2 linked regions of the Kluyveromyces lactis genome follow. The protein of the gene in region 2 binds, or shares a complex with, the protein of the main gene of each other region. Links are inferred from orthologs where the notes say so. Each region holds a gene or a part of one and is shown on either strand. Other genes may lie near its edges. The genes, in order: SWI6 and MBP1.

Region 1 (4,290 bases), on a different chromosome or scaffold from region 2:
TTAAGGTGGATGAGAACGCCGATGAAGTCCGTCGTCGTAAGTTAAACACTCCCTCGCCAAAGAAGAAATCCAAAAAGAAATCAAGAAAGCAAATTGACAGTGATGAAGCTTCAAAAGAACAAACTCTTTCCTCTTTGACTACAAGGGGGGTAGATTACAAAGAATTACAGCATGTATTGTCCAATCACTTAGCATTCTCTAACATTCAACAAGTGCCACTCTTTCAATTGCAGGATGTTAACTCTGTTGTCTCGAAGTTAAGCCGCACAGAACTGCGCGCTATTTTGAATGACGAACAATGTATCGGAGTAATTTACCGTACAGGAAAAGATGCCGCAGGAAAGCCACTGGATGAAGAATACTACTATGATGCAGAAAATGATCCTGACGATGACAGAAGACAGCTGGTAGCATCACTCAAGGGTGGCAGATCTGGTTTAAGATCATGCAGGAGAGTGCATAAACAGTATTTCTGGAAGAAACCAACTAAATAATCTAAAAATTCTGCTCGACTTGCTTTTTAACACAAGGCGTCGAAGAAACAAATATATACATAGGCAATAAATGTAATAGAAAAAAAAGGTTCATCGTATTTTATAGGTAAAAGTCCACTAAAATTACAACAGCTTGCGTAAACTGTTTAGTTAGAAATAAAAGTACAACAAGAGTTATTTCCAAATAGGTTACCATCAATTGGTATTTATTCGGCGGCACTCTCTAAAAAGTTGTTCACCTCGTCTGTATCTATATCTTCAGGATCTTCATTAGATATAGCTTGCAAAAGACCGTCAAGCATTGAGTCAACCTTCTCTTCATCTATCTTCAAGCAGAGAGACAAGACTTTTCTGAATTTAGATTCTAAATTCTTCTGCTTGTCTTTGATAGTCTGTAAAGTTGAGTCTAAATGCAATTCGTTTCTATTGTACGCTTTGATTCTTGCTTTAAGAATTTTGGGATGTGGGATTTCTGCTCTGGAAGGGAAGTTATCGTATATTTCATGAACAAGTTGTGATAAATTGCAATGTTTGAGGAATAGTTCAAAATCATTGTTATATTCGTCTTTGATCTTTTCCTCAAACTTTGTGTAAACGTAAGAGATTCTGAAAGGCTCATCAGCATCGAATGCAATATCGGCTGAGTTCAGACCTTCTTCTTGGACATCATCCAGTGATAGTCCTAATTCTCTAGAAGCAAGTTGGAAATTTTGATCTTCTTCAGCGATAGTGTTTTCCACATTGTTCAGTCTGTCGGACAACAGATTATATTCATCTTGGATTTGCTTTGCCTTAGCCAATCTATCCCGTGCATTAGCCAACGCTTCTCTCTTTATGTTGAGTGTATCGAGGAGCTCCTTCATCTTCCCATTATGTTGTTTAATTTCATCACCATAATCATTCGATATTTTTGAGAGGAGTGATTTTATATTTGTGATTAACGATGTAGACTCAGCCATCGGATCCAACGAAGTTTCATGAGTTTTGGTAGGTGTGGCCATAAGATTTTTTGTATTCGATTGAAAACGGGGTTGAGTACCTGCACCAAAATCCACAGGGCACAATCCGGAATTGTTTGCAATATTAGGATCAGCACCATAATCCAACAATGCTTCGACAATGGCAACGTTTCCAAGCCTGGCGGCAATATTTAAACAGGTATCACCATTAGAATCTCTAGCATTGAGTAAATGAGTGATAACCCATTGAAGATCGATATCTTCTAGTAGCACGCAATGCGATTCTTTAGTTCTGCTTTGCTTTTTAACTATCCAACCCATCAAAATATCGAGGTAATACTTAGCCGCTGCATTACAACCAGGCATACCAGAAGTAATCACAATATGATGAAGAACGGTTCTATCCATGTCATCAACCATTACGATACAAGGGTACAAGTAGTCCAACAGTATCTCGAATGTACCAGAATCGTAATTGTTTACCGACTTCACAGATTTTACAAGCACTGATTCACCGGACTTATCGCCGATTCTTCTATCACTGCCAAAGACAATGAGCTGTTTGAGAAGGTCTAGATTGGCTATGGAACACAGCCAATGCAAGGAAGTGTTTCCATGTTCATCAATTGGGATGTTAAAATTTAGTGGAACGTTTGGGAATTGTGTGTCCAGTTCTTGTACCTGCTGGGTTAAGCTGACCGATGGGTAACCTTCTGCAACGTTCAAATTCGTAGTTTCGGGGAAAAGAATACGCTGAAGTAAGGTCTCTAACTTCGCACGTTCATCATTTGAGTAATTACTAACTGGAGGCAGAGTTTTCTGTAACGTAGAGACCGTAGGTAAATCATGTTGGAAAACCGGGATCTTTGAAACAGATTTGGTTTGATGCCTCTTCGTAGGAGAATCGGGAAGATCTAGAAGCTCATGTTTAACAGTGTCTGGCTCACCACCACTGATTCTAGAAGTGGTTCCATTTGTAATTGTTGCAGGCCTGAAATTACTTCCTTCGGCAGTAACATTCCCATCATTTTTATTCGAGCTGTTGTTTCCGTTATTTGTATTTTCAGTACCACCATTCTCCATTGTGTGGTTGTCCGTCTTTCTACCATTATTCTCAGGAGTCTTCTGACCATCGTCTTCAACGCCATTGTGATTAGCTTCATTATCATCGTCATGGTCCGTCAAATTTTCCGAACCAGAATCATCTTTAATTTGCAGCAAATCCCATAACTCATGTGCTTTTTGTAAAGTGATCCATCGGGTGCCAGACCTATCAGTGTCTATAAGTATATTGAATTGAGAAGTGACCATATCATCGAGATTCTCAACCAATGGGTCATCGCGATGGAAATTGAAACTTGATAAGTTGGTCAACAAAGGGATAAATTGGTCCAGACAGACATATCCGTCTTGAAGTCGCTGCTGGAAAGTAATACGGTCTCCCTTATGCACCTTAAAAATAGGCCTGCTCATCGTCCACTTTATACCGTTAAATTGTGAAGGATCCCAGAACAATTACTAGTACAGTCAACGTTGTTCGTTGTTTAGAGTTCTCAATTGTGAAATTAGTACGATGTTCATAATTTGGTTAACATTCAAAAATCAATAAATTTTCTCCATTTGGCGTTTGTATATTATATTATCATAATATCGACATATTGGGATAGGGAATGAATGAGGTATCCAGGGGACTGAGACGTGCTCATACAGCCCAAAAGACTTTCGTTCACTATACTTGATACATTATGAGCAATGTAGCGCAGTACAAGAGAGTCATTAAACTCTCTAAAGAATTGTCAACTCTTCCTGTTATATCTTACTACTTAAAACTATATGCGGCAGAGCTAATATTGAATGAGAAGGAGCGAGACGGGGAAGCGACAGAGTTGGTCATGTCATTATTAGACGATGTAGAGAGCTTTAAAAATGAGGTGAATGATGAAGGTACTAAGATCCTGTTGAATGAAAAAGACAAAGCATTGGCTTTTGTGTTAAATCTTGCGATGTCAATCTATAACGGAATCTTAGTACAAATACAAGATGATAGGATTAATGACGATATAGGAAAGGGGCTATGGTGCTGTATAGATTTGTTTCAATGCTGTAAACATATATGGGCGGATAGTATGGATGCCATTGTAAAAGAGCAATGCGATAAAAGGATCAAACATTCCAAATACTATCTTATGAAATTGAAAAGGGGACAATTACAAAGCGACAAGAAGCCCCAAGAAACCACATCAGAACCTACAAATAGTAACCCACTAAGCGAAGTGGAAGATGAAATCCCAAATTTTGTCGAGGATCTAGAGGATCAGCCGCTATTCGAAGAGCCAAAAGATTCGGAAATAGCACAGCAGCATGGTCCGTCTCCCTCTTTGAAGGTAGATGAATCCGTTGAGAAGTTAAAGCAGCTTGAGTCGCCAGAAGTTCCAATAAAGTTGCTAACGCCAGAACCGATCAAATTAGAATCACCTAAACCGGCAGTGAGACATGATGTTGCTACTTTGAAAGAAATAATGTCAAGGGAGCACAGGATTCAAAAAGCACAACGAAGTGCTAAGTATGCAATAAGCGCTCTAAACTATGACGACATAGTAACTGCAAAAGCCGAGTTACTGCAAGCTTTTAAGTTGCTTGAAGACTTGACGCCTGAATAATATTCCAATGCGTCTGATCATTTCTGCATTTTTGCCTCAGTTATGAACAATGTCAGAGATTCTATAATTATCGTATTTGCATCTATATCATTATTAACTCAATTAGCAGCCCTCAATTTTAATGTTTCGATCAGTTTCCTTTCACTGTTTTGTATCAATTGGTCTATATATACGCCA
Region 2 (4,316 bases):
ACCATTATATTTTGTGTTTCTCCGCCTTCATTTCAGTTGGACTCATTTCTTCCATCACCAACCAAGATATAATATATAATAAAATCAAAGCTTCCGCTCTCATGAATCACAAATAAAAAAACAACAACACCAAACAATTGCAATGAGTTAGTCAATAGATTAAGTTCCACAGAAAGACAATAAAAGTCACATTTATTTCAACATTGCAAGATCGCGTTCTTTCTTTGTTTTTACATTACTGGATAATGTGTTCAGAAAACTACGGATGATATCTTCAGCGTTACACCTTACAGACTTTCAGATAACTAAAACTCTAATATTATTATATTTATGGTAGCCCATATGTAAGTTAACAAACTGATATGTACAATCCATTTATAATGAATATAATCGGGTAAGAGTTGTAGAGATGATTCAACATGGTTTGTTGAGTACTCTTATGTTTAATTAATACAATGCTACATCATGAAGAAAGTAGTCATTGTGTACATGACGATCGAATACGAATTATACAACTAACCTTCCTTGCTTAATGTTTGATATATCACATCTAAACATTCGTCAACATCAGAAACGTCAATGTCAGTTCCTTGAGATATCATTTTCCTATATTTGTAAACTTTAGAGTTGTCTGTTATCACGTCAATAATTTGATTAAGTTTTCGTTTTCGTTTTAATTGAATAAGAACTAATTCCTTCAAAAGTGCTTCTATATCTTCAGACTCCTCACCGTCAGTAGTCTTACCTTCGACATTTTTTGTTTCTTCATCAACAAACTTTCGTATCAGTTTTACTTGTCCTTCTTCTAACCTGTTGATTAGCACGCGCTTGTCTGTGGCAATTCTCCGTTGTAGTTCATCAATTTTTTCCTTCCTATCATTGAGTACTATGTCAACATTGTCAGTTTCCTTCAAATTTAAAGCTTCTAAAAGTTTCATTTCGACAGATGTTATGGTTTTCTTCATGCTCTTTACTGTCCGTTCCATCTGAAGAACTTCGTTTTGTCTTTTCTGATATGCATTCTGATAAGAGTTTGCCATTTCTTTCATCATATTTATTACCTCTGGGATAATTCTATTTGTTCTAGTTGCAGCCTGAGAAGGATACATTTTGTTGAATTCATACGGATCATCCAGCCTTTGCCCTTTTGTTATTTCATCCATCGAATAACGGCCACTAATGATTCCATTAGGTGTCATTCCGCTATTATTTTGAACGGTGGTAAGTGCGCCATTTTGGAGAAGAAGTTGATAAAACTGATCATCCTTGTTCGTTGCAGCATAGTGTAAGGGTGAATTTCCGTCATTGTCTTGTTGATTTATTAATACGTCAATCCTATATTGTGGCGTAAAGTCTTTAATTTTTGATAGTACAACGTCTAAATAATAGACTGCAGAAGGGGTATGACTCTTTCTGCTAACGATCCGGTGAATGACGTTTCTTGATTTGGCATCCAGGTCAAATACAGTATCCTTCAAAATCTCAAAGATCTGCGGATACGTCCGTTTGGTATAACAATTGTGAAAAATTGAAGATCTTATTAGTGGCGTTTCTCCTACGTTATTCAACGATCTGATGGAACTTCCTGCTTTTAGTAGTGCCTCTACAATGGGTAACGTACCCATCGCACATGCCCAATGAAAGGCTGTATGATGTTCGGGGTCAATCCACGTATCAATAAACGGCGAACAATGTAAAGGAGGATTCAAAAGCTCCATCGGTATTTCCGATTCGTTTTGGGTATCATTAGATATGAAATAATTCACCAATTTTGATAGGTATTCGTTTGCTCTTTGGTTTGAATCAGATGGTCCGTTTTGAGATGAGGAAAATTTTGGTAATATCATATTCATTGAAGTCGTACCATTTAATTGTAGGGGAGTTTGCATGTTAGATCTCGAGCCAAATGCAACACTTTGAGAGAATTCACTTGGGGAAGACGGTAAAGAGGAAGAAGAAGATACAGGCTCATCCTTTGTGTTCATTAAGTGTGTGTTATCCTCATGTTTTGTGCCCATAATAGAATTAGGTTCTACATCACTGGAAAGTCCGTCTTCGATATCTAATTCCTTAAATTGGGGAGAAGCTTGATCCAGCGGAGATTTTACATCCATAATCGGGGACAAACTAGTCGCTGATCTGCCAAACTGAGGCTGTAGACTAGGTAACTTTGTGCTCTGGATAGAAGATGATGGAATTGAAGGTTTTGGAAAAACCATCTCACTTTGTGATCTTTGTAATGTTACAGTCGCTTTATTCCGAGGAGGACGACCCCGCCTTTTTGGTGCAGAACCAGGTTGCTGCTGCTGCTGTTGAGATACAGGCTGCTGCTGTTGGGAGCTCGCTTTTTCGGATACCTTTCCAGAAGGTACAGATGCGCTTTTTGTAGCCTTTTTTCTGGTAGAGTCACTTCTGGAAGCATGGTGATGTTTAGGAGCCTGAGGCGGCGAAGCAGAGCCTTCTTGTTGTGTAAAGTCAAATAAAGGTTTAAGCTCATCTAATACTTCGAACTTCTCAGCCAACTTCGAGGCTAGCTCTAAGGGAATCCACGTACCTTGGTATTTACCGAAACCACCTTGAACCTTTTCGTGGGTATCTGTTATGACTTCTTTTTCCAATATCCTTGTCCTTTTAGCCTTTGGAAACTTTGCAGCCTTCAATATATGAGTGGCATTCACCCAATTATCTGCCTTTCTCTTCATTATTGACCCAGTCGGGTGTATAAACTCATAGACATCCACGCCAGAGTACTTCGCAGAATATATTTGATTGGATGACATGGTATTAACTTTATCCTTGTAAAAAAATTGATGCAATATCTTGCACCCGTGCTATGTGTAAGATCAAATTTGGTTCCAAAAATCGATATGATATATCTTAGTCCCCAATTCAGTTTGACAGTATGCTGGTCTTCGACTGACTATACCCCCGAAATATAGCGACTGGTAATGGCGGGTATGTCCAGTAAATGTCAGCAAACTCGAAAAAAACTCAATGAATTTCCAATCAAACCTTGTATGGATATTCAAGGTGTGAAGATCGTCTTTCTCTTGGTTTATATTTTGACTGTTTTGTACCTTTAGGTACTTATCATATGCAATATATAAACAATAACTTGCATTATTTTCGATGGTTCTTAATTCATCAACCAAAAAAAACGTACCAACTTCAACACAACAACTCAAAATGTTACCCGGACATTCAAATTAAAACGGTAACTGGATGCTCTTTGAGCGTATAAGGCTGGCTCTTGGTTGGGAGAGACAGAAAATAGTCAACATTCATATCAAACGCATTAAGCTCATAATTAAATATATTTTCTATTTAAATAGTAAGTTCGATTTTAATCTTTTCCACTTCTTTCTCAGTAAACTTCAGTTGCTCTAAGAAAAACAGTTCAAAAGAGCCGAATTTCAACAAGAATGCGTCAATGAATAGACGCATTGCTTCATATTTTGAAGATAGCACATTGGCTGCCATTTCCTTTGGAGAAACACCCCAAGCAGAAGCTATTTCATGACCGTGGGGGCCCAGAATTGTGTAGAATTTGTCACCACGTCCGGTGATTCTTTGGATTAATCTTTTCTCGGTAGTCAATCCGAGTTTAGTTAATTCATAATCGTGAGAAATGGTGTCAGCGTCAACACCCGCCAACCCTAATATCAACATACCCAAAATCCCGGTCCTATCCTTTCCAGCACTGCAATGAAAAACAATCGCATGTTTTTCATCGACGTTTCCCTCAAGTATGTATTCGAAAAAACGACGAATAACTGGGAGACTGTTCTCTAAAACAATCTCATACGCCTGAGGGAAATTGTAAGAAGACAAAAACATACCTTGATAATGTTTAGCCATTTCTTCTGGACTCAATGTCATGTTATTGTTGAACGATAGATTTTCAACTTCGAAATTCGGGATAATCCCACCTTCAGTAGCTTCATTAACAGCTCTCAGATCAAAAACTCTATTTATGAAAAGATGAGATTTCATGTAATCCAAAGCGGCGGGTGTGGCCTCATTGGGGTTTGCACAACGGTACATAATACCAGGTTTAACTTGTTTACCTGATGTAGTGACGTATCCACCAACATCTCTGAAATTGGAAATTTGTGAAAAATCATAAGGTAAGCACCAACGATTTCTGACATCTCCATGGTTCACGTTCGATTTAATCAACTTATGGGTATTGTAGAATCTTTGTAATTGGTTTTCTGGATTCAAGTATTCAAGCAAGTAGGCAACTAGGTAGGCACCATAATTGACTTTACCTTTACGAATAGGTAAGTTTAATTTATTTGTATCATCTGGGAATC

What was found.
Region 1: MBP1 (region 2) and SWI6 share a complex: the UniProt entries of both Saccharomyces cerevisiae proteins name them as parts of the transcription complex. The link is inferred for Kluyveromyces lactis from reciprocal best matches to the Saccharomyces cerevisiae genes MBP1 and SWI6.

What each region holds. Positions count from the first base shown.
Region 1 is NC_006039.1:142,943-147,232, reverse strand, and holds SWI6 (transcriptional regulator SWI6), read right to left. Parts: upstream 2,927-4,290; coding exon 701-2,926; downstream 1-700. Other genes in the region: TOS4 (Tos4p), read left to right, coding at 1-494; VTA1 (Vta1p), read left to right, coding at 3,199-4,113. UniProt on the Saccharomyces cerevisiae protein: Part of a complex involved in cell-cycle-dependent transcription. SWI4 and SWI6 are required for formation of the cell-cycle box factor-DNA complex. The repeated element in the upstream region of HO (5'-CACGAAAA-3') is called the cell cycle box (CCB).
Region 2 is NC_006041.1:484,383-488,698, reverse strand, and holds MBP1 (transcription factor MBP1), read right to left. Parts: upstream 2,781-4,316; coding exon 516-2,780; downstream 1-515. Other genes in the region: KLLA0_E05391g (uncharacterized protein), read right to left, coding at 3,325-4,316. UniProt on the Saccharomyces cerevisiae protein: Binds to MCB elements (Mlu I cell cycle box) found in the promoter of most DNA synthesis genes. Transcriptional activation by MBF has an important role in the transition from G1 to S phase.